Linked DNA regions of Callithrix jacchus. The protein of the gene in region 7 purifies or fractionates together with the protein of the main gene of each other region. This does not show direct contact. Links are inferred from orthologs where the notes say so. Each region holds a gene or a part of one and is shown on either strand. Other genes may lie near its edges.

Evidence for each region.
Region 1: the proteins of CCNF (region 7) and CDC6 purify together in Homo sapiens (affinity purification with western blotting; 4 studies listed by BioGRID and IntAct, with this or other methods). This does not show direct contact. The link is inferred for Callithrix jacchus from reciprocal best matches to the Homo sapiens genes CCNF and CDC6.
Region 2: the proteins of CCNF (region 7) and RBX1 purify together in Homo sapiens (affinity purification with western blotting, with the first as the bait; 4 studies listed by BioGRID). This does not show direct contact. The link is inferred for Callithrix jacchus from reciprocal best matches to the Homo sapiens genes CCNF and RBX1.
Region 3: the proteins of CCNF (region 7) and RRM2 purify together in Homo sapiens (affinity purification with western blotting; 5 studies listed by BioGRID and IntAct, with this or other methods). This does not show direct contact. The link is inferred for Callithrix jacchus from reciprocal best matches to the Homo sapiens genes CCNF and RRM2.
Region 4: the proteins of CCNF (region 7) and CCP110 purify together in Homo sapiens (affinity purification with western blotting; 7 studies listed by BioGRID and IntAct, with this or other methods). This does not show direct contact. The link is inferred for Callithrix jacchus from reciprocal best matches to the Homo sapiens genes CCNF and CCP110.
Region 5: the proteins of CCNF (region 7) and TARDBP purify together in Homo sapiens (affinity purification with western blotting; 3 studies listed by BioGRID, with this or other methods). This does not show direct contact. The link is inferred for Callithrix jacchus from reciprocal best matches to the Homo sapiens genes CCNF and TARDBP.
Region 6: the proteins of CCNF (region 7) and NUSAP1 purify together in Homo sapiens (affinity purification with mass spectrometry; 3 studies listed by BioGRID, with this or other methods). This does not show direct contact. The link is inferred for Callithrix jacchus from reciprocal best matches to the Homo sapiens genes CCNF and NUSAP1.

Annotation. Positions count from the first base shown.
Region 1 is NC_133506.1:92,974,105-92,978,039, reverse strand, and holds the start of CDC6 (cell division control protein 6 homolog), read left to right. Parts: upstream 1-1,135; 5' UTR 1,136-1,384; intron 1,385-2,357; 5' UTR 2,358-2,370; coding exon 2,371-2,545; intron 2,546-3,935. UniProt on the Homo sapiens protein: Involved in the initiation of DNA replication. Also participates in checkpoint controls that ensure DNA replication is completed before mitosis is initiated.
Region 2 is NC_133502.1:191,767,907-191,772,184, forward strand, and holds the start of RBX1 (E3 ubiquitin-protein ligase RBX1), read left to right. Parts: upstream 1-1,478; 5' UTR 1,479-1,499; coding exon 1,500-1,577; intron 1,578-4,013; coding exon 4,014-4,092; intron 4,093-4,278. UniProt on the Homo sapiens protein: E3 ubiquitin ligase component of multiple cullin-RING-based E3 ubiquitin-protein ligase (CRLs) complexes which mediate the ubiquitination and subsequent proteasomal degradation of target proteins, including proteins involved in cell cycle progression, signal transduction, transcription and transcription-coupled nucleotide excision repair.
Region 3 is NC_133515.1:104,869,947-104,872,565, forward strand, and holds part of RRM2 (ribonucleoside-diphosphate reductase subunit M2), read right to left. Parts: intron 2,477-2,619; coding exon 2,343-2,476; intron 639-2,342; coding exon 544-638; intron 416-543; coding exon 282-415; intron 1-281. UniProt on the Homo sapiens protein: Provides the precursors necessary for DNA synthesis. Catalyzes the biosynthesis of deoxyribonucleotides from the corresponding ribonucleotides. Inhibits Wnt signaling.
Region 4 is NC_133513.1:20,957,481-20,960,980, forward strand, and holds part of CCP110 (centriolar coiled-coil protein of 110 kDa), read left to right. Parts: intron 1-1,462; coding exon 1,463-1,522; intron 1,523-2,017; coding exon 2,018-2,103; intron 2,104-3,500.
Region 5 is NC_133508.1:48,894,193-48,897,692, reverse strand, and holds part of TARDBP (TAR DNA-binding protein 43), read right to left. Parts: intron 2,298-3,500; coding exon 2,127-2,297; intron 808-2,126; coding exon 277-807; 3' UTR 1-276. UniProt on the Homo sapiens protein: RNA-binding protein that is involved in various steps of RNA biogenesis and processing.
Region 6 is NC_133509.1:45,230,140-45,233,639, forward strand, and holds part of NUSAP1 (nucleolar and spindle-associated protein 1), read right to left. Parts: intron 379-3,500; coding exon 262-378; intron 1-261. UniProt on the Homo sapiens protein: Microtubule-associated protein with the capacity to bundle and stabilize microtubules. May associate with chromosomes and promote the organization of mitotic spindle microtubules around them.
Region 7 is NC_133513.1:4,375,602-4,379,727, reverse strand, and holds the start of CCNF (cyclin-F), read left to right. Parts: upstream 1-1,326; 5' UTR 1,327-1,384; coding exon 1,385-1,400; intron 1,401-3,391; coding exon 3,392-3,546; intron 3,547-4,126. UniProt on the Homo sapiens protein: Substrate recognition component of a SCF (SKP1-CUL1-F-box protein) E3 ubiquitin-protein ligase complex which mediates the ubiquitination and subsequent proteasomal degradation of target proteins.

The DNA.
Region 1 (3,935 bases), on a different chromosome or scaffold from region 7:
GACGATGTAGGTAAAATACTGAGCACATTCTCTGGCATACACTTAAAGCCCTCAATATTGGCTCTCTTCATGAACTAGGTACCAATTAACTGATGATCGTAATATTGTTGCTTTCCTCTTTCTAGGCTTTATGGCTCTGTTTTATTTGTTACTGAGGGGTAAAAGATAAATGTTTACCATGACCTAGAATTGGGTTTTGGCCTTTAAAGGAACCTGAGGGTTAGATGAGTTATTGGCTTTGGAAGCTGGCCTCCAAATTACTGCTCTAATTTATATTTTTCATTAAAAACTCAGCTTGCCTCTTCTATATAGCTGCTTTCCCTGGCTCTGAAACCCTAGTGTTTCGCCATAAAAGATTTTAAAATTAAGGGGTCATAATTCTCTCCCGACGAGGTGTGGATTAATGGTAAGAAGGTGCATATAATATAATCTAACTTTGAACGAAATAAAAGCAAAGAGTTGGCTCTGTTTCTCACCTTTGAAGTACAAATCAAGAGATACTATGATGAAGCATAGTTTTTCTTTATATAGCTGTGTAGAACTTTACCAAAAAAAAACACTAGTTCAGGCATCAGAAGATCTGGATCCTAGGCTTTTCACTGTCACCAAGATGCTGTGACCTCTAACCTTGTATGGAGGTTTGCTGTGTGCCTTCCGGGGTTGGGGTTCATACCTGGCGCACAGAAGCGCTCCCCAAACGGTAGGTATCATGTACTAGTACTGAAAATCTAGTCCATCAGGACGATGCAAATGGGTATGTTCGGCAGTGAGAAGGGGGAACCACATCTTGACACCCAGTCGAAGGAAGAGCGCGGAAGTAGGGTCGCGCGGCAGTAAAGACTACGCCTCCCGCCGTGCTTTGCGGCCGGGCCGTCCCGCCTTACCCAGAGTCGCCCTGCAGCAATCGCGCGTCTTTCCACTGAGGCCCCGGATGTAGATTCTCTTTCCCGTCTACGCCGCTCAGTGGGCGTGGCCTCGCTGTGACTCAAAGACTTGGGGCTCTCTCATTGGCTGTAACTCTTCCGCAGGATTGGAAGCAAAAAAGAGGCGGTACCCAAGGCGAACAGCGCTCTGACCACAGCCAATCAGAATCGAGACCGGGCTTTGGCGGGAGGCTGGAACGCTGTGGTAATTTAGATTTGGCGCGAGCGCGGCTGGGTTTTGCTGCTGCTGGTGTGCAGTTTGTTCGGGGCTTTTGGTGGTGAGTCCCTGAGGCTGCGTGTGAGAGACCTGAGAAGGAGCCTGCACTGAGGAGGTGGAAAGGAGAGGATTGCTCTAGGAGGCCTGCGATCTGTGAGGCAGCGGCGTTGGGTGAAGGCTGCGGGTTCCGGCGAGGCCGGAGGTGAAGTGAGGGGAAGAGAGCTGAGCTCGCTGGAGGTCTGAGGTCGGGAATCAGGGAAAGGGCAGGCGCCCTCGGGGTAGTTCCAGCTGTGAAGGAGCTGAAAGCTGTAGGAAGGAAATGTTCTGGGGTGCCTTGAGAGCCGCTTAGAATGAGGCCTGTGTGCAGGGGCGGAGAGACTGAGAGAAGACGGACCTGCAGTGTGAGGGCTTGGGAGAGAAGAGAAATGTGGCGGCTGGTGGGCTGAGCTGGTGATAAAACACCCCTCATGCCTGGAGGAGGGCAATTAGAAGTTCTATACAAATCAGTTCAAGTAACTTTTTTTTTTTTTGAGATGGAGTCTCTCTTGTTACCCAGGCTGGAGTGCAATGGCGCGATATCGGCTCACTGCAAACTCCACCTCCCCAGTTCAAGTGATTCCCCTGCCTCAGCCTCCCGAGTAGCTGGGATTACAGGCACCCGCCACCAGACCCAGCTACTTTTTGTATTATTTTAGTACAGACAGGGTTTCACCATATTGGCCAGGCTGGTCTCGAACTCCTGACCTCGTGACCCGCCCGCCTTGGCCTCCGAAAGTACGGATCACAGGCGTGAGCCATGGGGCCCGGCCCATTTCAAGTAACTTCTTATTGCATTTATCAATTGGTTAAAAACTTGGACTCTGGTGCCAGCCTGGGGTTACATTCCTGTTTTTCTGTGACTTTGGGCCACTGTTTATCTCAGTTTTCGCATCCGTAAAATAAAGGCTAATACTAGTACCTACCTCTAAGGCAGTTGTAAAACAAAACGAGTTGGCACATAAAGTGCTTATAACGGTGGCTTCCACGTAGTAGGTAGACAACAAATGTCAGCTGTTCTTGCATAGATTTGGATGTGAATTAGAACTGAATGCTAAAATATTGTGGTAACATAATTTACTTAAGAAATAAGTGTTAATCATCAGTATAAATAAATTCTATGTTAGTTATTTTCCCTTCACTTTTACCTATTGATTTGTCCTGTTATTTTTTGTATCTAGTTGTGCTGCTGTCATGCCTCAAACCCGATCCCAGGCACAGGCTACAATCAGTTTTCCAAAAAAGAAGCTGTCTCAGGCATTGAACAAAACTAAAAACTCTAGTGATGCCAAACTAGAACTGACAAATGCCCAAATTGTACCCTGTTCTCATGTAAAAGTCCTGCCTCTCAGCCCCAGGAAACGTCTGGGTAAGCCATTTGTTATATCACTTTTTGACCTTTCTTTTCTCAATAAGATGTGTGTCCTTTGAAGGAGCTTTCTAAGTTCAGTTAAGACTTTTTTTTTTTCCCCTCAAGAAAGTCTTATATTGTCTCCCAGGCTGGAGTACAATGGCGTGATCTCAGCTCATTGCAACCTCCGCCTCCTAAGTCAAAGCAATTCTTCTGCCTCAGCCTCCCAAGTAGGAGGGGTTACAGGCACCCACCACCAAGCCCAGCTAATTTTTATTTTATTTTATTTTTTGTTGTTTTTTGTTTTGAGACGGACTTTCGCTCTTGTTACCCAGGCTGGAATGCAATGGCACAATCTCGGCTCACTGCAACCTCCACCTCCTGGGTTCAAGCAATTCTCCTGCCTCAGCCTCCCAAGTAGCTGGGACTACAGGCACGCACCACCATGCCCAGCTAATTTTTGTATTTTTAGTAGAGACGGTATTTCACATTGTTGACTAGGATGGTCTCTATCTCTTGACCTCGTGATCCACCCACCTCGGCCTCCCAAAGTGCTGGGATTACAGGCTTGAGCCACTGGACCCTACCTATTTAATTTTTTTGTATTTTTAGCAGAGACCGGTTTTTGCCATGTTAACCAGCCTGGTCTCTGAACTCCTAACCTCAGGTCATTCATCTGCCTTGGCCTCCTAAAGTGGGATTACAGACATGAGCCATCATACCCAGCTTTTTTTTTTTTTTTTTAACAGTCTCGCTCTTTCGCTGAGGCTGGCGTCCAGTGGCACGATCTCAGCTCACTACAACCTCTAGTTCCCTGGTTCAAGCCATCCTCTCACCTCAGCCTCCTGAGTAGCTGGACTACAGGTGCACACCACCACACCTGGCTATTTTTTGTATTTTTGGTAGAGCTGGGGTTTCACCACGTTGGCCAGGCTGGTCTTGAACTCCTGGCCTCACAAACTACTGGGATTATAGGCGTGAGTTACTACACCTGGCCTAAGACTACTCTTCATTTTAGTTATTTTCAGAATGGTTGCTAACTGCTTACTGAACTCCAGAGTTAAGCCACTTACTGAGGTCACTTTCTGAACTACTTAATAGGTTTAATCTTTGATTCCTTAATACTGAGGTTAGTTCCGTCAGTGTTTTAAGTTACCTTGTAGTAGCAAGATATTATGAAATGTACCTCAATATTTGTGAAATTAAAAGAAAACAGCGACATGCTGGATATTTTCCATTTTTTTCTTGTTTTAGAACAGTGGTTGGTAATTCTCGTTTTGGAATATTTGTTTTTAAATGAGGGATGATTTGGTTGTTTCTGGAGGCATTTTTGGTTGTTACAGCTGGGGGATGCCACTGGCTTAGTGGGTAGAGGCCAGAGATGCTGCTAAACATCCTACAATGCCCT
Region 2 (4,278 bases), on a different chromosome or scaffold from region 7:
TGTTTTCCAGGATCTGCTGTTCCTGTTTATGACTAAAAGGGAAACAAATCGCAATTCTTTCACTGTTATTATTATTATTATTTTGAGATGGAGTCTCGCTCTCTCACCAGGCTGGAGTGCACTGGCACTACCTCGGCTCACTGCAACCTCTGCCTCCCGAGTTCAAGCGATTCTCCTGCCTCAGCCTCCTGAGTAGCTGGCACTACAGGCGCATGCCACCACACCTGGCTAATTTTTCTATTTTTTGTAGAGATGGGGTTTTGCCATGTTGGCCAGGCTGGTCTCGAACTCCTGACCTCATGTGATCCATCCACCCGCCTCAGCCTCCCAAAGTGCTGAGATTACAGGCATGTGCCACCATGCCTCTAAGAGTGATCTGGCAGTCACACCTCTGCAAGGTTAGAGATGTCAAAGGGAGTCCTGGTCTAGGCAGAAATGGGAGAGTGACACGAAGTACAGGTGCTTGTGCCGGGCGTGGTGGCGTACTCCTGTGAGTACTCACTGTGGGAGGCCGAAGTGTGAGGATCGCCTGAGACCAAGAGTTCGAGGCCAGCCAGGGCAACATAGTGAGACATTGTCTCCATTAAAAAAAAAAAAAGATCAGAATGCCTCACAAAATTCAAGAAATACAGTGACTTCAAGTGGGTTGGTTTCATTATAGCTCAAGCAGCAGACAGAGGACACGGACCGGGAAGAAATCACCCCACGCAGATGACAACTGAGGAAGGGGGAGTGGGGACTGACACGCTATAGTGAAGCCGGGCACCCCAACCAAAGGCGGTCCTAGGACTGCGACTAGGCGGGCGCAGAGGCCACCCCCCAGGCTTCGCGGGCGGGTGAGGGCAGGGCTGGGGGCCTGCTCAGTCTGGCCTTGAGGAGGGCCTTCTGAGGTCTCCCTTCTTCCCATCGAATCCCCGAGCAGTTCCCAAACAGAAATCGGAGACCAGACGGTGCCTGCGCTCCAGCCCTCTCAGGAGGACTGCACCTCGGGCCTGGCTACGAGGCGGGTCAGAGTCTGCGAAAGACCAGCGAGGGCTCTCGGGTTCTGGGGTAGGCGGCGGGTACCCACCCCCGCGCCTTCCCCAGCCCGCACTGGGAGCTGCGCGGCGACCCGGAGAGCCCGACAAGCCGGGTAGGGCTGCGGCGCAGGTCGTGCTCATGCGGAGGAAACAGCCGCCGCCCCAGCTGACGGAGTGTGGTCGGGGGCTTCCCAGAAGAGGCGGCGAGAGCAAACCCTTTCGAACATTTCCACCAGGCTAGCTCACGTAGCCTCGGCCCCGCCCCAGCCACTCCCGCCACCGCCCCCACCGGCCGACACGACGCGGGTGGGGCAATCTGCGCCAGCCCCTTTAAGAGGCGTGGTGACGTGCTCCGCCCCCACCTGCCTCTCGCGCGCCAATAAGGGGTGGGGTGTGGGAGGAGGTGCCGGGAGGCGGGGGAGTGAGGCGTGCACAGTTGCGCAGGCGCGGTGGTCGGACGACAGATCTTGTATTTCCAAAATGGCGGCAGCGATGGATGTGGATACCCCGAGCGGCACCAACAGCGGCGCGGGCAAGAAGCGCTTTGAAGTGAAAAAGGTTGGGTCTCGCCAGCACCTTCCTCAGGGAAGCTAGAGAGGCGCGGATCTGGCTGGCAGGCCCCAGGATGGTCGAGGCGCGGAGTAAAGGGTTTCATTTCAGGGCGTTCCTGGGACCGGGTACCACGAAAGGAAGCCGGGGGGCGGGTCTTAGAGTTGATCGGCGTGACGGTGGCCCACTGTCAGGGACGTGTTGGTTTCGCTGTGAGGCTGAGGGGCCAATCACGGAGCTGCTTATTGAGATACGCGGGGTTGCGATTTGGCGGCAGGAGCCAAGCGCTTGAGCTGTCACTGGAGTGGTCGAGGTGGGGGAAGGACAGGGTGGGGTAGGGTGGGTGAAATGGGGAGTCGGAGTGACTGCGGCGGTGGAGGATGGGGCAGTGCGGCGAAAGCTGGGAACAATCTGAGGTCGTACTGCATTGGAGGCCTCTGAGGGACCCCGCTGGTGATCTTGCCCCGCCCCTTTTTGAAGCTTGGGGTCCTCTCACTTTGAGGAATCCAGACTTGGTGCTCGCCGAACCGAGGCCTCCATTAACCCCATCTCTGGGCCTCACACCGTCTAAAGAGTCTGGAGTGTAGTGCTTGGCTCTTCTGAGACGTCTGTTGTCTTTTCACATAACCATCTCAGTCCTGGGTTCTCTGTCACGTCCAGAATCTCCCCCTTCCAAAATAAAAATAAAAAGCATGGTGGCATTTGTTAAGAAAATCCGAGCCCAAATCCTGTGGCATTTAGGGAGGGTTGAGTACTAGTCGTGAATGACTTGGTAAGAGTGGAAAAGCAAAAATGGAACGTGTCTTTTTATATGAAATGCCTTTTAGTGGTTTGCCACAGTTTGGGGGACAGTGTCGATTCCCACCTAACATGAAAGCTGTTCAAAATGGAGATTCTGAAATAGGGAAGATATTCCTGGAACATCTGGTTAAACACTGACATATCCCCCCTCCTAGTGCTTTTTGGTGTCTCATTGTGGCCACTGCTGCTCAGTTACAGCCAGCAGCCATATTGAAGAATAATAGAAGAGGGGCTTTTCCTCCAAGTTGAAACTGTGATGTGAAAAGTGGGAAAGAAGTTATAAGGCACTGAGAATGGGGTCTGAAAGTGATGAAGGTTTGGCAGTATTCGTAACTGAGGAAGCCAGAGTGGAATAACTGAAATGCCACTTTTAGTTAAACTCTTACTGGAATTATCTCAATACAAGACATAAAAGTTGGGAACATCTGTTTATTTTATGGTAAGAATCAAACAAAATTCTAGTGAATTCTAGAATTTGTTATAAAGTAATCTTCTAAGATTTAAGTGATGACCTTGGTCTGTGTACTGACACGGGTACTTAATTATCCAGCTTATCCCATGATTATCCATTTTATGGTCCCATGATCATCTTAGTTCATTCTGTTCCCTAGCTTTCACCTCACTGCTCATGCTTCCGGAGCTTCCTGGAAGAGCAGATACTCACTCAGATTTTGAGCTCTTCTGCAACTGCCACAAAAACCTGCACAGTAATTCAAGTTTGTGTTTATTAAGCCTACAACGGGCAGTTAAAAATTGTTCCTAATTTGTTTACATTGATACGGCTGACAATTATTTTATTTCATTTTTTTGAGGCAGAGTCACCCTTTTGCCCAGGCTGGAGTAAAGTGGCACCAATGTCAGCTCATTGCAACCTCTGCCCCCGAGGTTCAAGCAGTTCTGCCTCGGCCTGCCGAGTAGCTGGGATTATAGTCAACTGCCACCATGCCCAGCTAAGTTTTGTATTTTTACTAGAGATGAGGTTTTGCCATGTTGGCCAGGCTTGTCTCAAATTCCTGACCTCAGGTGATCCCCTCGCCTCGGCCTCCCAAAGTGCTAGGATTATAGGTACAAGCCACTGTGCCTGGCCACTAACTAAATTGTTTTATTTTATTTTATTTTGAGATGGAGTTGTGCTGTTGTTACCCAGCTTGGAGTGCAATGGCACGATCTCGGCTCACTGCAACCTCCGCCTTCTGGGTTCAAGCAATTCTGCCTCAGCCTCCCGAGTAGCTGGGACATCAGGTGCGCACTACCGTGCCCAGCTAATTTTTGTATTTTTAGTAGAGACAGGGTTTCACCTCGTTGACCAGGATGGTCTCGATCTCTTGACCTTGTGATCCACCCGCCTCAGCCTCCCAAAGTGCTAGGATTATAGGCGTGCTCCTGGCCAAAGTATTTTAAACTATAAGAAACAAAAGATGACTCATTAATTTCTGTGTTGACATACGCAGCCTTTTGGAGAATGGGAGAACATACGTGTAGTCTACCGTTGTCCTTTGATATAATAAGAATAATGTAATATCCAGAAACTTGTGTTTGGTGGTTCCCCATGGCCGAAGAGGTGGTAACTGCAGCTGCAGCATGAAGTCGTAAAGAGTGTGTGTTACAAGGAGAATGCATTGTTCCCTCTTTTTGTCTTTGCAGTGGAATGCAGTAGCCCTCTGGGCCTGGGATATTGTGGTTGATAACTGTGCCATCTGCAGGAACCACATTATGGATCTTTGTAAGTAATTGGAGGAGGATGGGAGAAAGTTGAGAAGGTTACAGAGATTGTGGCTATCTTGATGTGACCAATTTTCTTCTTCACAAGGAGATAGAAGCCTATGCTGAGCACTCGGTCTTCTGTATCTAATCTGTTGATGTGTTGGAAATAGAGTAGTTTTTTTATGATGTCCTGGAAGCATACCCA
Region 3 (2,619 bases), on a different chromosome or scaffold from region 7:
AGAGCAAGATTCTGTTCCCCCAAAAAACAAACTTGTACTTTTTTACACATTCAAAGCCTATAAGGCAATAGGTATATACTAATGTATTATAGAGAATACAAGTAAAATAATTTCAGTAAATTAAAGTATTTCCTTCTTTTGTCAAGTATGTGTATGGTCGAACTCACACATTAAACATGGATATATGCCATCTAGTATCTCAGGTCCCCATCAGTAAACGCCAGAGCATGCCCGAGTTGTGTCTGGGACTCCAGTTACCCTATGATTTGATTCAGACTCACCTCATCTCTGCTAATAAGTTCATTAGAAAATGTGAGGCCAGGCATCAGTCCTCGTTTCTTGAGCCAGAATATGGATGCAAAAGAACCAGAAAAGAAGATGCCTTCCACTGCAGCAAAGGCTACGACGCGTTCACCTATTTAAGAGTTAACAGCAATAGGATTCTAGTGAGTAACTGTTGGTATTCATAGGAAGGGTCAACAATCCAGTAACATTACATGGAAAATGAAGCTCAAGCTGAAGTGGGGGCAAGGGTCTCCTTACCATAGGTAGCCTCTTTGTCCCCAATCCAGCGCAAGGCCCAATCTGCCTTCTTCTTGACACAAGGCATCGTTTCAATGGCATTGAAGAGAAATTCCCTAGTAGGCACACACAGCATCAGCAATTGAAGTATTACAGTAAAAGACCCCCGATTACCAGCTGCTAGATAAGAGCTCTGGGACAAAGGCCAAATTCAAGTATTTGCTGATTCTCTTCTCAAAGGAAGAACCCATGTCAAAATGTTTTATTTTTATTGGTCAGCTTTTCCCTCCAGTGTTCTTTTAAAAGTCTCAACATTTGATTTACGTTAATACAAATGTGGGTAATCTGTAGTTCATATGGAGCTTCAGGGTCTACAAACAGTAAAACGTGGGTCAGTACAGCAGGGACATTTGTTGCCTTTATTATTTCAAGTCCAGGTCATAGTTCCATGTGACGAACCATAAAATTTAAAGAACCATAAAATCCTAACTGCCATGCTATTATCAGACTATCCCTGGGTGCATTATTTGGCCCCAATTGCCACATCTCTATCATAAAATAATTAAACCAATAAACAAAGATTGCTTCCTACTAAAATTCTGTCCTACACTGTCAATCCCAGGTCAGCAAAGTAAATCCATGGGTATTAGTTAAGTGGGTCTCCCTTACCACTCTTCTGGTGCCCACCTTGAGAGGCTACTGATTTCTCAGCCTGTTCCTACCAGATGACCTTGTGTTCTGAAGCCAAGGTCACCAGACATTGGGCAGCTTTCATTTCTGTTTATTTATTTAAGGGATGAGGGTCTCACTCTGTTGCCCAGGCTAGAGTGCAGTGAAATAATCATAGCTCATGTTAAAACCAAACTCCTGGGCTCAAGCCATCCTTCTGCCTCGCTGTGCCAAGTGGCTGGGACTCACACTACCACATTTGGCTGCCTTTTATTCTCTTTCCATCTCACTGTCCTTCTCTTTGAGACCTGGGTCTGCCTCTCCCTTGCTTTTGAGGCTTCCCCAGAACTTCCTGAATCCACCCATTCTCCTTCTGGTCATTTGCCCCCAGTCGTACCCCTAATCTTTGCCTTCTTTTCTCAATTTCCACCTATATAAACATATTCAAATCTCTTCACCCAGAACGAGTTTCTTCAGTCCTTTCAAGTTACCACTTTCCTGTTCATGCACTTCTAATTTTACAACAGCCACATTAGGTTTCAGCTTCACCACTTCTACTCCATATGGAGGCTCCAGTCCCTAAAGCTGACCTTAGTGTCTAGACTACTCCAACAGCCCGTTTCTAACCCATCGCCTCCAATCAATCTCCAAAACATAAAACAGACCTAATGCTATCTTTATTCAGTCAAACTGCTGCATACCTAAATCCATCTCAGGGCTCACTGCTGCCTCTGCCTGTGTAACTCCTCTTATTTGCCTGTAGTGTACTGCAACCCCTCAGCAGGAAGTCCTCCCCGCCCTTCATCCTGCTGCAGCCCCACATTCTAGTTTCTCAACAAATTTACCAAATGACCAAAGATGGTCAGACATAGGTTTTAGTTTGTCTTACCCAACATGTAGGAATTCCTTCAAAAAAAGGCTTTAGATTGGTAGGCATCCAACTCTAAAAGTGGAGCACCTTCACAACTCTACGTGAATAATAAAGTGAATTTAGGCCCCTTGCTAAGAGCAGACATGACCACGGGTGCTGGAAATGTCTATGTCTGCTTAGTCATTCTGGAGTCATTTTTATCCCTAGATGAACTAAAACTTTGCCACAAATCAACAATTAAAGAGTCCTAAAAATCTTGGCATACCACTTGAATACGCACCTTTCGCTGGGATCTTTTATGTAAGTGTCAATAAGGAGACTATACATTTCAGAATGAATGTTTTCCATGGCAATTTGGAAGCCATAGAAACAGCGGGCTTCTGTGATCTGAACTTCTTGGCTAAATCGCTCCACCTAGTGGCAAAACACAAAGTCAAGCTTGAGAAAAAACTGGCGACAGCAACTCTTGTCAATGGATGGTAGCATCACGTTCTGCACCCTTGTAAGATTTCTTTCTATATATATTTCATCCAATTCTTCACAATTCTGTGACAAAG
Region 4 (3,500 bases), about 17 Mb from region 7:
TTTAGTCTCAATGAGAAGCTTTTTGTTTTTTATAGGGAAAAAAAAATTGGGCGGGCATGGTGGCTCACACCTGTAATCCCAGCACTTTGGGAGGCTGAGGTGGGCGGATCACCTGAGGTCAGGAATTTGAGACCAGCCTCACCAACATGGAAAACCCCGTCTCTACTAAAAATGCAAAATTAGCTGGGCGTGGTGGCGAATGCCTATAATCCCAGCTACTTGTGGGGCAGACGCAGGGGAATTGCTTAAACCCGGGAGGTGGAGGTGGCAGTGAGCCAAGATCACGCTATTACACTCCAGCCTGGGTAACAAGAGTGAAACTCCATCTCAAAATTTAAAAAAAATAAAATTTATAAAGCCCAAGCTTCATTTTCATTGACTTTGTTCTATTTGACATCAGTAGAACACTTCCTGCTGAATTGGGTGGGGGATGGTCCACAGGCTCAAGAATCATATGAATACCTGGCTGTATACTTGGTCCCATGTCAGACCAGATGTGCCTGGAGCTTTTGTAGGGCATGCTATCTGTGGTAGAAATTTGAGCCTGATATGTCTTGAGTTCAGTTACACAGTCCAGAGGATCTTTGATACTTACTTAAAAACCTTAGAAAGCTAACTTAAGCTCGGCCAGGTGCATTGGTTCACACCTGTAATCCTAGAACTTGGGAGGTCGAGGCGGGTGGACCATGAGGTCAGGAGTTCAAGACAAGCCCAGCCAACATGGTGAAACTCCGTCTCCACTAAAAATACAAAAAGCTGGGTGTGTTGGAATGTGCCTGTAATTTTGGCTACTCAGGAGGCTGAGGCAGGAGAATTGGCTAACCTAGGAGGCAGAGGTTGCAATGAGCCAAGATAGCGCCATTGTACTCCAGCCTGGGTGACAGAGCAAGACTCTGTCTCAAAACAAAACAAAACAAAACAAAAACGAAAAAAAGCTAACTTAAGCTGGGCTCAGTGGCATGTTCCTGTATTCCCAGCTACTTGGGAGGCTGAGGCAAGTGGATAGCTTAATCCCAGGAGTCCAAACCAGTCTGGGTAAGACCTATCTCAGAAAAATAAATAAATAAATAAATAAAACTAAAAAGCAAACTTGAGTATTTCTGACCTGTTTTTCACACCTGTAAAATGAGAGCAATATTTTCTTCTCTCAACCTGTTTGAAAGGAAAGGTTAGCTTTTGTAAAGTATGTGTGTAAGAAAATTATCTTAAAGCACAAGGGTTAGTCTATATGTTGGCCATTTCTTTGGTGATAAAAACCTGAGGTTTGGACTCTCAGTGAGCAAAATATAAGTACCATATTAATATGCTTTAGTCAATTTGCTTTGCTTTGTGGTAATATATAGGCCGTATTATTGCATAGATGACTTTCTTCTTACTGTCATCATCTTTCATCCGTTGAAAGAAAATGGGAAAAAATGGAATTTATCCTTTTAAATTAATTTTTTATTTAATTTGTCAACAGAGTCCTTCAGCCAAACCAAGGACAGAATGCACCTGTTCATAGGCTACTTAGTAGACAAGGGTAAGAATGCCACACACAGTTATTGGAAACTATGGAAACCAAGATTAGGTTCAGAGGGAAAAATAAAGCCGTGTTCTTTACATAAAGGATAATGGTTTTTCAAATGTGATTTTTTTTTATAACATTGGGAAAGGTATTTTAAAGTTTTGTCTTCAAATTTAGCCCTCCTAGCATACTGTTGTGTATTCTAACTCCTATCTTATGTTGGCATGTTTTTACTTTTCATTTCATATCATTTTACTCATTAAGTATTTAAATATCCATATAGTAAATTCATCATCACCGAAGTGATTCTCCAACAGAGTATGAATCATGCTTGTAGTCTCCTGCTGAAGCCAGAGTTTAGCTTTCCTTGCTGTGCACATGCATGAGACTCCAGTTCTTTTGAAGCTTATTTGTGCTTTGGACAGTTGATGCATTGTGATTGCTTTCTTTGAATTTTGAACATTTAGACCTTAATGCCAGTGACTTATTAATTTTTTTATATTCAATTAGAACCCCTAAGACATCAGTGAAGGGGGCTGTGCAAAATAGACAGAAGCCTTCACAGAGCAGAGTGCCTAACAGAGTGCCTGTTACAGGTGTGTAGAAAATGAATTTCTGAAGCCCATTCAATAGAAGGAAGTGCACAAGCCGCCCCGTAACTCAGGCCACAGAAGTGGAATAGATTGTCTTTCCTTGCCACCATAATTTTGGCATATTCACGGTCATCCAATTAGTGTTCTTTGGTCTTAGCATTTCATGGTAGTCAGGAAGTCTTAGTAAAACTGTTATTCCAATCTTGATTTCTTTAATATTTCTATAATATGGAAAACACCACGTATTTTTAATTCTGAAAAAATTGTGGAATTTTTTTCACCATGCTTAATTTATTAAATAAAACCTTTTTATTTAATGAATAAAAGATAATGATTATCTCTGGTGCTAAGTCTATGCATTGTCTGTTCAGCTTGGGGAAGTGTGTCTGCACATAAGGGGATGAAACCTTTCTCCCTCAAACTGTAAGATCACATGTGAATATGCCAATGGGAGGAGGTCTTCATATTTTGCTCAATCAGAAGCTTGAGCTGAATCTCTCCTTATGTTCATCATCTGAGGATTAAGAGCTAAACTAAAAACTGTGTTTTAAAATTCTGTTTATGGTGGCAAGAAGACAAACTCATTCTTGAGCTAATTCAAAACTCTTAACCAAATGCTTTAATATTTTTAAGGTATCTTTGTTAAGACACTTTGATTAAGCTCACTTAAAAATTATGTGATCCATTTAAAAATACTTTCCAAGTGTTGTGCTTTAATTATACTGCTTTCTGGACATTTACAAGAAACCTAAATTACTCACCGGGCATTGAAGATTAAACCTCTAATCAATTCTAATCTTTCCATTAATATATAATTAGGTAAATTTGAGAGCTTTTATTACTAAGTGATTCCCTTCAAATTAGGGAGCAAGCTATTGATCGTAACTTTGAAATGATGGCTTACCTTTTGTATGTATGTAGTGAATGTAATTCATAGTGTCACTCATATATGGTATAATTTAAAAGGTCATCTTTGGAAATTGTTGAGTGACAGTTAATGGAATTGTCATAAAGGGTTACATAGCTGAAGGTGCTGCCTGCTCCAGAGGCAGTCAGAATAAGCTAGTTTGAAAGACAACCATTTGAAAGGACTCAGACCAAACACCAGATCTGTGGAATTTTAAGACATTTTCTGTTTTTCCCATGTTAATATTCTGTATTGCACTGAGTCTTAGCAAGTTGGAAAATCATTGAGGAATTAGTATTATTTTGCCTGATATCAGTTTGCCACAGTGACTACTCTCCATGTTTTTTTCTCATGCATTTCATCTCCACTATTTGTCACTTGTGAACCTGTAAGCAAAATAGCAAGTACTGTTTTTATTCAGCAATACTTAACAGTATAAAGGATTATAGGCAGTCATTGAAGTTAATAACATACAATGAAGTTTATTATTTTG
Region 5 (3,500 bases), on a different chromosome or scaffold from region 7:
TTTTGATATCAATTGTAGTGTGTTGGTTTACCAATCAGGCAAACAACAGTTCACTTTCAACCACTCAATATTTCAACCTTTCATGTAACAAAACTTAGAAAATTCCTTTAGCTCTTCCTTTTTTAAAAGAAAAACGTCAAAAATACTGCTGAATATACTCCACACTGAACAAACCAATTTTGAAAATTCTTAGTACATGTATTTTACAATATACTTACCAGTGAGTTTAGAAAAATCTGAATTCCCACCATTCTATACCAACCAACCACAAACTGTCTACATTCCCCAGCCAGAAGACTTAGAATCCATGCTTGAGCCAAAGCCTCCATTAAAACCACTACCCGACCCTGCATTTGATGCTGATCCCCAACCAATTGCTGCACCAGAATTAGAACCACTATAAGAGTTATTTCCAGAACCAAAGGCCTGGTTTGGCTCCCTCTGCATGTTGCCTTGGCTTTGGTTATTACCCGATGGGCCTGACTGGTTCTGCTGGCTGGCTAACATGCCCATCATACCCCAACTGCTCTGTAGCGCTGCCTGGGCTGCAGCCATCATGGCTGGATTAATGCTGAATGCGCCAAAGTTCATCCCACCACCCATATTACTACCTTGATTGTTTCCCAAACCAGCTCCACCCCCTCTACTATTACCAAATCCACCCTGATTCCCAAAGCCACCTGGATTACCACCAAATCTTCCACTTCTTTCTAACTGTCTATTGCTATTGTGCTTAGGTTCGGCATTGGATATGTGAACGCTGATTCCTTTAATGATCAAGTCCTCGCCACAAAGAGATTGCGCAATCTACAAGAAATAAGGGATGTAAACAAATAAGATTAAACCACTGATTTATACATCAAAGTAGCAACAAAACTTAGATTACAAGCATTAACTAAAGCCAGAGGAAAAATAAGCAATGAATGCTCATTTTGTTTAACCCCACAATACAGCTTTAGTTTTAGTAATAGCAGCAGTGATATTTCAGTCTATTTTCAAAAGACATAGGCTCGGCATGGTGGCTCATGCCTGTAATCCTAGTGCTTTGGGAGGCCAAGGTGGGAGGACTGTGTGAAGCCAAGAGTTTAAGACTCGTCTGACAGCCTGGGCAACACAGTGAGACCCCACCTCTATTAAAGACAAAAACCCTGCAAAAAAACCACACTAGCTGGGCATGGTGGCATGCACCTGTTCTAGCTACTTGGGAGGCTGAAGTTGGAGGATTCTCTTCCTGGAGGCTGAGCCCAGGAGTTCTAGGGTGCAGTGAGCTCTGATTACACCACTGCATTCCACCAGCCTAGGCAACAGAGTGAGACCCTGTATAAAAAAAAAAAAAGGGTGTGTGTGGGGGCTCTCACCTGTAATCCCAGCACTTTGGGAGGCTGAGGCAGGCGGATCACCTGAGGTTAGGAGTTCAAACCAGCCAGATCAAAATGGTGAAACTCCATCTCTGGGCGTGGTGGTACATGCCGTTAATCCCAGCTACTTAGAAGGGTGAGGCAGGAAAATCACTTGAACCCAGGAGGCAGAGGTTACAGTGAGCTGAGATCACACCACTGCACTCTAGCCTGGGCAACAAGAGCAAAACTCTGTCTCAAAAAAAAAATATTTAACATTCCCAAATGCCATATACTGAAAATTATCTAAAGGTTGATTTACTTTTAGAAATTTCTTAAAAATGTTGTATTTGTAGCCGGGCATGGTGGCTCACATCAGTAATGCCAGCATTTTGGGAGGCCAGGGAGGGTGGATCACTAGGCCAGGAGTTCAAAGACCAGCCTGACCAATATGGTGAAACCCCACCTGTACTAAAAACACAAAAATTAGCCAGGCATGGTGATGTACATCTATAGTCCCAGCTACTCAGGAGGCTGAGGCAGGAGAATTGCTTGAACCTGGGAGGCGGAGACTGCAGTAAGAGAAGTGCCACTGCACTCCAGCCTAGGCAACAGAGCAAGACTCCATCTCAAAAAACAAAAAAGTTGGGGCGGGGGGAACATCTAGGCCCATACACTCTACATCTTATAAGGTGAAAAAACTTAGCTAAGAACAGCAATTAGCTGGATGGGAAATGTTCAAGAGAAATTACCTAATTACCTGGCCCATATTGTTAAGGAGAAAAATACCTGATCATCTGCAAATGTTACAAAGGCAAAGGCCCTGAACGGCTTGGGGATGAAGACATCCATCACCTCCCCGTACTGGGAGAAGAACTGCCGCAGCTCGTCCTCAGTCATGTCCTCTGTACAGCGCCCCACAAACACTTTTCTGCTTCTCAAAGGCTCATCTGCACTTTGCTGGTCAAATCAAAAGGAAGGAAAAAACTCAAATATAAACAATGAAAAAAGCATTAAGGTAAGGGATATAACAAAATCTTTCTGCCTTGGATAGTAGTGAGTTATTAAAAAGGGACATACTCTTAATTTTTTTGCATCAACATTTCTTTTTCTTGTAAGGCTTCAATAAAGAGTAACATTTTAAGTTACAAACGTACACAGTCATGCATCACATAATGATGGAAATATGTTCTGAGAAATGAATCATGAGTCGTTATACCATTTCATCACTGTGGCCAGGTGTGGTGGCTCATGCCTGTAATCCCAGAACTTTGAGAGTGAGGTGGGTAGATCACCTAAGGTTATGAGTTCAAGACCAACCCCACCTAGTCAACATGGCAAAACCCCATCTCTACTAACAATACAAAAATTAGCTGGGTGTGGTGTCGGGCGCCTTTACGTAATCCCAGTGACTTGGGAAGTTGTGGCAGGAGAATCGCTTGAACCTGGGCAGGGGAGGTTGCAGTGAACTGAGACTGCACCATTACACTCCAGCCTGGGCAACAACTCCATCTCAAAAAAATTAAAAAAAATAAAAATAAAAACTTCATCATTGTGCAAACATCATATAAAACCAGATAGCTTCTACATTGCTGATAGCCATTACTGGAGATAAAGAAAAAGAAAAAAGAAAGAAAGCCAGATAGCATAGCCACCCCACATCTAGGCTGGATGGTATAGCCTACTGCGCCTAGGCCACAAACTTCCAAGTTACTATACTCAACACTGCAGGCAACTGTAACCCCATAGTAAGTACGTGTATATCTAAACATGGAAAGGGGACAGTAAAAACAGTGTTATAATCTTACGGGACCTCTACTGTACACTTGGTCCACTGCTGACTGATGAATTTTGCAATGTGATGCATGACTGTATTTGGATTTGAGAAAATCAATAAATGACCAATCTCCTGGCAAAGATGATGATGTGCCAAATAAGCAGATGTTACTTGTTTGCTTGGACAAAGTTAGATTTTATAACAAGATTAATATATATATATATATTCTGATTGTCTTCATGTTTTAACATATAACTATGTAAGGAAACTTAACTTGACAAATAACCTTTTCTCTTTCACATCCATAACAAAAAGAACAAAATGAACAAAGCTTTAGTTTGAAGAAGTAATAAACTAAATATCTGCAACAAGCATAAAATATTCAG
Region 6 (3,500 bases), on a different chromosome or scaffold from region 7:
TTAAGGTTTTTTTTTTTTCTTTTTGAGACAGTTTCACTCTTGTTGCCCCAGGCTGGAGTGTAGTGGTGTGGTCTCAGATCACTGCAACCTCTGCCTCCTGGGTTCAAGCGATTCTCCTGTCTCAGCCTCCCAAGTAACTGGGATTACAGGTATGTGCCACCATGCCTGGCTTATTTTTGTATTTTTAGTAGATGTGAGCCGCCGTGCCCCACCAATCTTAACTATTTCACAGGCCCTGTAGCTCAATATACTCCTAAATACCTTTGTGTGGTTCATAGTTGAGGGGACGAGACAAACTTGCTTTAAGATCAAACACTGGTTTCTTATTCGAGACTGGAGTCTGCATTGCCTCAGTTGTCAACTTGAATGGGGTAATAACTAAAAAAAAAAAAAAAGAAGAAAACAAGAGCTTAGTTAGAAACAAAGACCTGTTAAAATGTTTGTCAAAGTGTTACTTCTCAATCTTAAAAACACATATTATTGTCTGAATGTTTGTACCTCTTGTGACTCCAAATTCATGTTGAAATACTAACCCTCAATATGACTGGTGTAAGGAAGTAGGGCCTTTGAGAGTAAGTAGGTCATGAATGGGGTTCAGTGCCTCATAAAGGGACCCCACAGAATTTTCTCTAGCTCTGTCACATGACCATACAATAAGTTGGCAGTCTGCTACCTGGAAAAGAGCCCTCACCAGAATCATGCTAGTGTCCTGATCTGTCTTCATCCAGCCTCCAGAACTATGAGAAAGAAACACTGCTGTTTATAAGATAGTCTTTGTGCTTTGTTGTATAATAGCAGCCCCAAAGGCCTGAGAGAATCTACATGAATACTCTGAAATAGATGAAAGAGTCTGAAGTAAGGGTTAAAATGGAGACAAGGGAAGAAAACAGTAAGTGAGGAAAGCTAACCATTGAGATTAGTTTCCTTTGCTAAACAGCTTTGTAAATGTTCTGAGTATGACATTTCTTTTTTTTTTTGAGATGGAGTTTCACTCTTGTTATCCAGGCTGGAGTGCAATGGCGCAATCTCCGCTCACCACAACCTCCACCTCCTGGGTTCAGGCAATTCTCCTGCCTCAGCCTCCGGAGTAGCTGGGACTACAGGCACACACCACCATGCCCAGCTAATTTTTTGTATTTTTAGTAGAGACGGGGTTTCACCATGTTGACCAGGATGGTCTCAATCTCTTGACCTCGTGATCCACCCGCCTCGGCCTTCCAAAGTGCTGGGATTATAGGCTTGAGCCACCGCGCCCGGCTGACATTTCTTAGGATCAGCTGGGAGTTTAGAATTCTGTTGAAAGAAATAACGGTATGGCTGGGCGCGGTGGCTCACGCCTGTAATCCTAGCACTTTGGGAAGTGGAGGCAAGTGGATCACCTAAGGTCGAGAGTTCAAATCCAGACTGATCAACATGGAGAAACCCCACCTCTACTGAAAATACAAAATTAGCTAGGCATGGCTGCCCATGCCTGTAATCTCAGCTACTCCGGAGGCTGAGGCAGGAGAATGACATGAACCCAGGAGTCAGAGGTTACAGTGAGCCAAGATCGTGCATTGCACTCCAAGCTAGGCACCAAGAGGGAAACTCCATCTCAAAGGAAAAAGAAAAAAAGAAATAATGGTAATTTTTCAGCTTATTTCCCTGATAACAGCTACTCATAAAAATTACATATTAATAGTATCATTAACATAAACAAACATAAAAAGAACCTAATCACATAAAGTTGAAAGGATTCATGGCCTGGTGACTCATACCTGTAACCTCAGCACTTTGGGAGGCTGAGGCAGGAGAATTGTTTGTAGACAGAATATTATTAATAAAGGCTGTTATCACTTAAGAATATGAATTTTTGGGGGGCTGGGTGTGGTGGCTCACGCCTGTAATCCCAACATTTCGGGAGGCTGAGGTGGGCAGATCACAAGGTCAGGAGATTGAGACTGTCCTGGCCAACATAGTGAAAGCCCATCTCTACTAAAAATACAAAAATCAGCTGGATGTGGTGGTGCGCACCAGTAGTCCCAGCTATTTGGGAGGCTGAGGCAAGAGAATGACTCGAACCCAGGAAGCAGAGGTTGCAGTGAGCCGAGCTTGCACCACTGCACTCCAGCCTGGTAACGGAGGGAGACTCCATCTCAAAAAACAAAAACAAAAACAAAAAAACATAATTTTGTTTGTTTGTTTTGTTTTGAGACGGAGTTTCGCTCTTGTTACCCAGGCTGGAGTGCAATGGCGCATCCATCATGTTGGCACAGACCACCATGTTGACCAGGATGGTCTCGATCTCTTGACCTCATGATCCACCCGCCTCGGCCTCCCAAAGTGCTGGGATTATAGGCGTGAGCCACCGCGCCTGGCCCAAAAAAATATAAATTTTTGAACCATGAAGTTAAAAATATCCAGGATAGTGAAGTTTTTATTTTTTTGAGATGGAGTCTTGCTCTGTCACCCAGGCTGGATGATATGACCTCGGCTCAGTGCAACCTCTGCCTCCCTGGTCAAGTGATTCTCAAGAGAGTAGCTGGGATTACAGGTGTGCGCCACCAGGCCTGGCTAATTTTTGTATTTTTATAAGAGACGAGGTTTTGCCTTGTTGGCCAGGCTGGTCTCAAACTCCGGACCTCAAGTGATCCTCCTGCCTTGGCCTCCCAAAGAGCTGGGATACAGCTGTGAGCCACTGTGCCCTGTCTAAAGATGGTTTGGTTTGGTCAGCCTTTTTGCTACAGTTGACCATCAGTTATCTAGCACATTTTGTAATCCCTTCTCTTTTTTTTTTTTATTTGAGACGGAGTCTCACTCTGTTGCCCAGGCTGGCTGGAATGCAGTGGCACAATCTCGGCTCACTTCAACCTCTGCTTCCTGGTTCAAGTGATTCTCCCACCTCAGCCTCCTGAGCAGCTGGGACTACAGGTGCATGCCACCATGCTGGGCTAATTTTTGTATTTTTAGTAGAGATGGTATTTTACCATGTTTGCCAGGCTAGTCTTGAACTCCTGACCTCAAGTGGTCCACCCGCCTCGGCCTCCCAAAGTGCTGGGATTACAGACAAGAGCCACCATGTCCGGCCAATCCTTTCTCTTCATAGGGGGAAGCCACTTATCATTTGTATCCAGGTCATTGCCAAATGTGAACACTTGCCTCCATCTGTGAACCAGCAATCAGGATCTAAGATCAGCTAGTTAAACACCCAAAAGCACAAAACTCCATGTTCAAGGGATCCCACTGTATCAATATCAGGTGTTGGCAGGGAGTAGAATAAGGGGCTGCCATACACTGCCAGTGGAAAGCATGAATTGGTACAATTCATCCAGGGCAGTTAATGTCTGCATATTTTCCAATCCAGCTGTCCTGCTCCTAGGTCTAGGGAAATTCTTGCACAGGAGACATGTTTAAGAGTATTCATGACAACATCATACATAATCATGAAAGCTGGAATGACTCACATGTTCATGAATAGTACAATAGATAAATCAACTGACATATACCCATATCATTGAAAA
Region 7 (4,126 bases):
TGACAAAGAAGGAACACTAATCCAGGGGGACAAAAGTGAGATGATGGGATAAGAAATCTGGGGGCTCAGAACATGGGATATCTGGGGAGCAGGCCCCAAACTCGCTCAGCCTGTCCTCGCTTCACCCTCCTTCACCAGCTTCCAGATTCCAGGGCCTCTCCGGGGCCAGGAACTCTTCTGTGCCCCGTGCTGTGATCACCTGTGTACTCTGTCTCTAGCTCCAGGCTGGCTGACGCCTGCATGCCAGAGCTCCTGTCTGTGTGCCCAGGGCAGGCCCAGTACCTTTAGGGGTTTGGTGATCACGAGGGCTGTGGGCACTCAGAAGGATGGGAGGGTGCAGACTGAGGGAAGCGTGAGGGAGGGGTGGGCAGCCTTGGCCCAGGCCCCCGCCTCCACCAGACACTCGGGAGGATGCGTGTTCCCTTGACAGCCCGTGCCGTGAAAGGGGTGGGGTGAGGATGATTCCCGAAGGACAGCTCGGATGCGCTCTGCCCGAGACAAGAGTGGGCAGATCCCGAGCGGCGCCGAGGAGGCGAGACGGGTCAGCAACCGGTCAGAGCGGTGAGGAGGGCTTGCCCCGGTCCTGGGGCACTGAGGCGTCCAGGGTGCGCCACGTCTCGCGGGAAGAAGGGGTCCGCGTTCCGGAGGGTGGGCCGGGGAGACTTCCAGCTTTCCGTGCCACGATCTGGGCCGGCATCCCCGCCCAGGAGCGCTCGGCCACAAACCCGAGGGTCTCCACCTGAAGCGGGCGGCTGAAAGGAAGACCGTGCAGGCCAGGGGCGAGGGTCGCGGGCGCAGGACCGACCCCGGGACCGGGGCAGGGCACCGCCTCGTCCTAGAAGCGCCACGTCGGGGCTCTCGCAGGTCGGGTCACGGCGGCGACTGCGAGGGGCGCCAAGGAGTCCCCCTTTCCCCTGGCCGCCGGCACGCGTCTTCGCAGCGTATGTGGCATCGCGGGTGCCAGTCGCCGGAGTCAGCCGCACAGCCCGGACTCACGCAGGCGGGAAAGAACGGAGCCAAACGCTCGCCCGCCCGGCCCGGGAGCTGCTCAGGGACTCACTTCCCCGCTGGGGAGGCGGGGCGGCCACGCGGGCTCCACCAATCAGCGGCCAAGGTTCGAATTTGCGTCCTGGCGCGGCCAATGGTGGGCGCCCTGAGCAGACGGGGTGGGCGTGGAGGGCGGGGAATAAGGCGTGTCCGAGGCGGGGCGTGGGCGAGGCCGCCGGCGGCCCCCCCGGGCAGGCCAATGGGAGGGCCGGGCGCGTTTGAAAACTGGGGCGGGCGGCGGGGCGGGGTCTGCGCCTGCGCAAGGGATAGGCGCGCTCCAGCCGGGGCTCGGGCGCGCTCTCAGGCGGGCTCTGGCTGCAGCTACGCGAGCGCCGCGATGGGGAGCGGCGGCGGTGAGTACCGGGAGATGTCCGCCGGTCCCTGCCCCGCGCCCCTTCTGCCTGTCCTGAGGGGCGGACGGCGGGTCCCGCGAGAGGAAAGACCCTGCGGCCTGAGGAGGGCGGGCTCGAGCCCTTTAACCCCGGGGCGGGGGTCGCGTTCGGCGCGGGGAGCCGCAGCGGCCGGGCGCGCGGTTTAAATGCCCTGCGGGCGCCTGAGCCCTTCGGCGTCTTCCCTCGCCGCGACGTTTCCCAGCCAGTTCCCGGAGCGGCAGTGGGGTCCCGGGGAGCCAAACACCAGCGCCTCCTGGCCGGGGATGGGGCTGCGGAGCGCGTGGGGCGAGGCGATCCCGCGGCCCTGCCGGTCCTGACGGGGCTTCCGTCCAGCGGGGCCGTAGACCCAGCTCCGTGGAAAGCCGCGCTCGGCTCCGCGCGCGTTGAGGCGGGGGAGCCCGAACTGCGGGTTCAGTTATCATCACGGCGATCGTCACACGACTCCAAGTGTCTGTCCTCGAGCCGGGGAATGAGGACTGTTTAATGGGGAGGTCTTCAGAATCTGAGAATTTGTAGCTCTAGACTACGTTTGGCTTTTGCAGCTGATTTAATTGCTGAAGGGAAGACCCAGGGCAAGAGAGGGGAGCAGGGGGCGATCGCTGGGAGGTTCTGGCGCGGAGAGGCTCGGGCCCACAGAGGGGAGTGGCGTTCCCTTTCAGGACTGGAAGAAGAATGGACAGAAAGGTAGATTTGGGCCGGGCGCGGTGGCTCAAGCCTGTAATCCCAGCACTTTGGGAGGCCGAGGCGGGTGGATCACGAGGTCAAGAGATCGAGACTATCCTGGTCAACATGGTGAAACCCCGTCTCTACTAAAAATACAAAAAAAAAATTAGCTGGGCATGGTGGCACGTGCCTGTAATCCCAGCTACTCAGGAGGCTGAGGCAGGAGAATTGCCTGAACCCAGGAGGCGGAGGTTGCGGTGAGCCGAGATCGCGCCATTGCACTCCAGCCTGGGTAACAAGAGCGAAACTCCGTCTCAAAAGAAAAAAAAAAAGAAAGGTAGATTTGTACATGGGGAGGCAGGATCCTGGGGTTCCTCCCTGAGGGCTTCTGTTGTCCTATGAAATAAGGGCTAAGGTCATCTGCTTAGAGTGAGGAAGGGGTTGCTGGGGTAGGAATTGGGAAATCGGACTGTGGGGAGAGGAGAGCAGCATGGCTGGGCTGCCTGCCTGGTGGGTGGAGAGCCTGCCTCACCTTTAACGATTGCACCTGTACGCAGACCTACAGGTTTAGGTTTGTGTTGGGATCTGAGCAACAACCTTACTGTGTAGCTGTCAACCCCACATTCTGCAGTGGAGGACACACTGAGACTCAGGGGCCTGGCAGGTCTGCAGAGCGCAGACTCGGGCACACACTGCCCCCGGCCTCCAAGTCTGTGGCTGCTCTCCATGGCCGACCCTTCTAATTTGGACTTGAAAACACGACGCTTCAAGCCCACAGATCCTTAGTGAACATTACGCACCCTGGTCATGTGTGGCAAAAGCAAGCTATCCCCCAAAGGCCCCAGGGGTCCGTCGAGAGGAGAGTCCCTGGCTGAGGAGGGCGGGCTGGAGCCCTTTAACCCAGGGCAGGGGTCGCGGGGTAACCAGGGGCTTTCCTCAGAGTGAATGTGAGGAAAACCGTCCTCAGCCTTGGCAGCTTTTTCCCCTCCCTGGGTGTCTGTGGGCCCTGGATCAGAAGGTTTCCCAATAGCTAAGTTACATGATGGGTGCCATTTGCCAAATATTTGTTGAATATTTGAAAATGAATGATGTCCTCTGTAATTCCTGCAATGCCACTCCTATGCGTAATCTTTGTTTGAGACAAGAAGCATGATTCCTTCTTTTGTGGTGCAGGGAATAGTAACCGTTAGATCATCTTCAGATGGAAATTTATCCTTTTTTTTTCCTTTAAGGGTTGTATGTAGAGTAACTTTTCATCTTATCAAGGCTTCTGTCTCTTTTTCCTTAAGTGGTCCACTGTAGGTGTGCCAAGTGTTTCTGTTATCCTACAAAGCGAAGAGTAAGAAGGAGGCCCCGAAACCTGACCATCTTGAGTCTCCCCGAAGATGTGCTGTTTCACATCCTGAAGTGGCTTTCTGTGGAAGACATCCTGGCAGTCCGAGCTGTGAGTCCCCAGATGGAAACAGCATGAGCCCTAGCGTTGTTGATTATACCATCAAGGCCTTGCGTTCTTAAATGTCAGAGCAAAGCTGGCTAAAAAGGAGGGCAGGCCAGGTGCTGTGGCTCACGCCTGTAATCCCATCACTTTGGGAGGCTAGGAGGGCAGATCGCTTGAGCCCAGGAGTTCAAGACCAGCCATAGCAAGACCTCGTTTCTACAAAAAATACAAAAGTTAGCCCTGTGTGGTGGCGCATGCCAGTACTCCCATTACTTGGGAGGCTGGGGCCGGACGAATCCCTGAGCCCGGGCAGTCCAGGCTGCAGTGAGCCATGATAGTGCCTCTGCACTCTAGCCTGGGCAATGGAAGCGAAACCCTGTATCCAAAAAAAAAAGAGGAGGGCAAAGGAAACAAGGACATTACCAGATGCTTCCTTTGAGACATTCTGATTACAGAAATTTCTATTGCTGTCTCCCAGCACACTAAGGTTGCCGCTATTCATTGTGGTGTCAACAGAGAAAGTACCCTTTTATGGCAGTGAAATTTGCATCCCTTAGATAACAGAATAGTGTTTAAAAGGATAAAA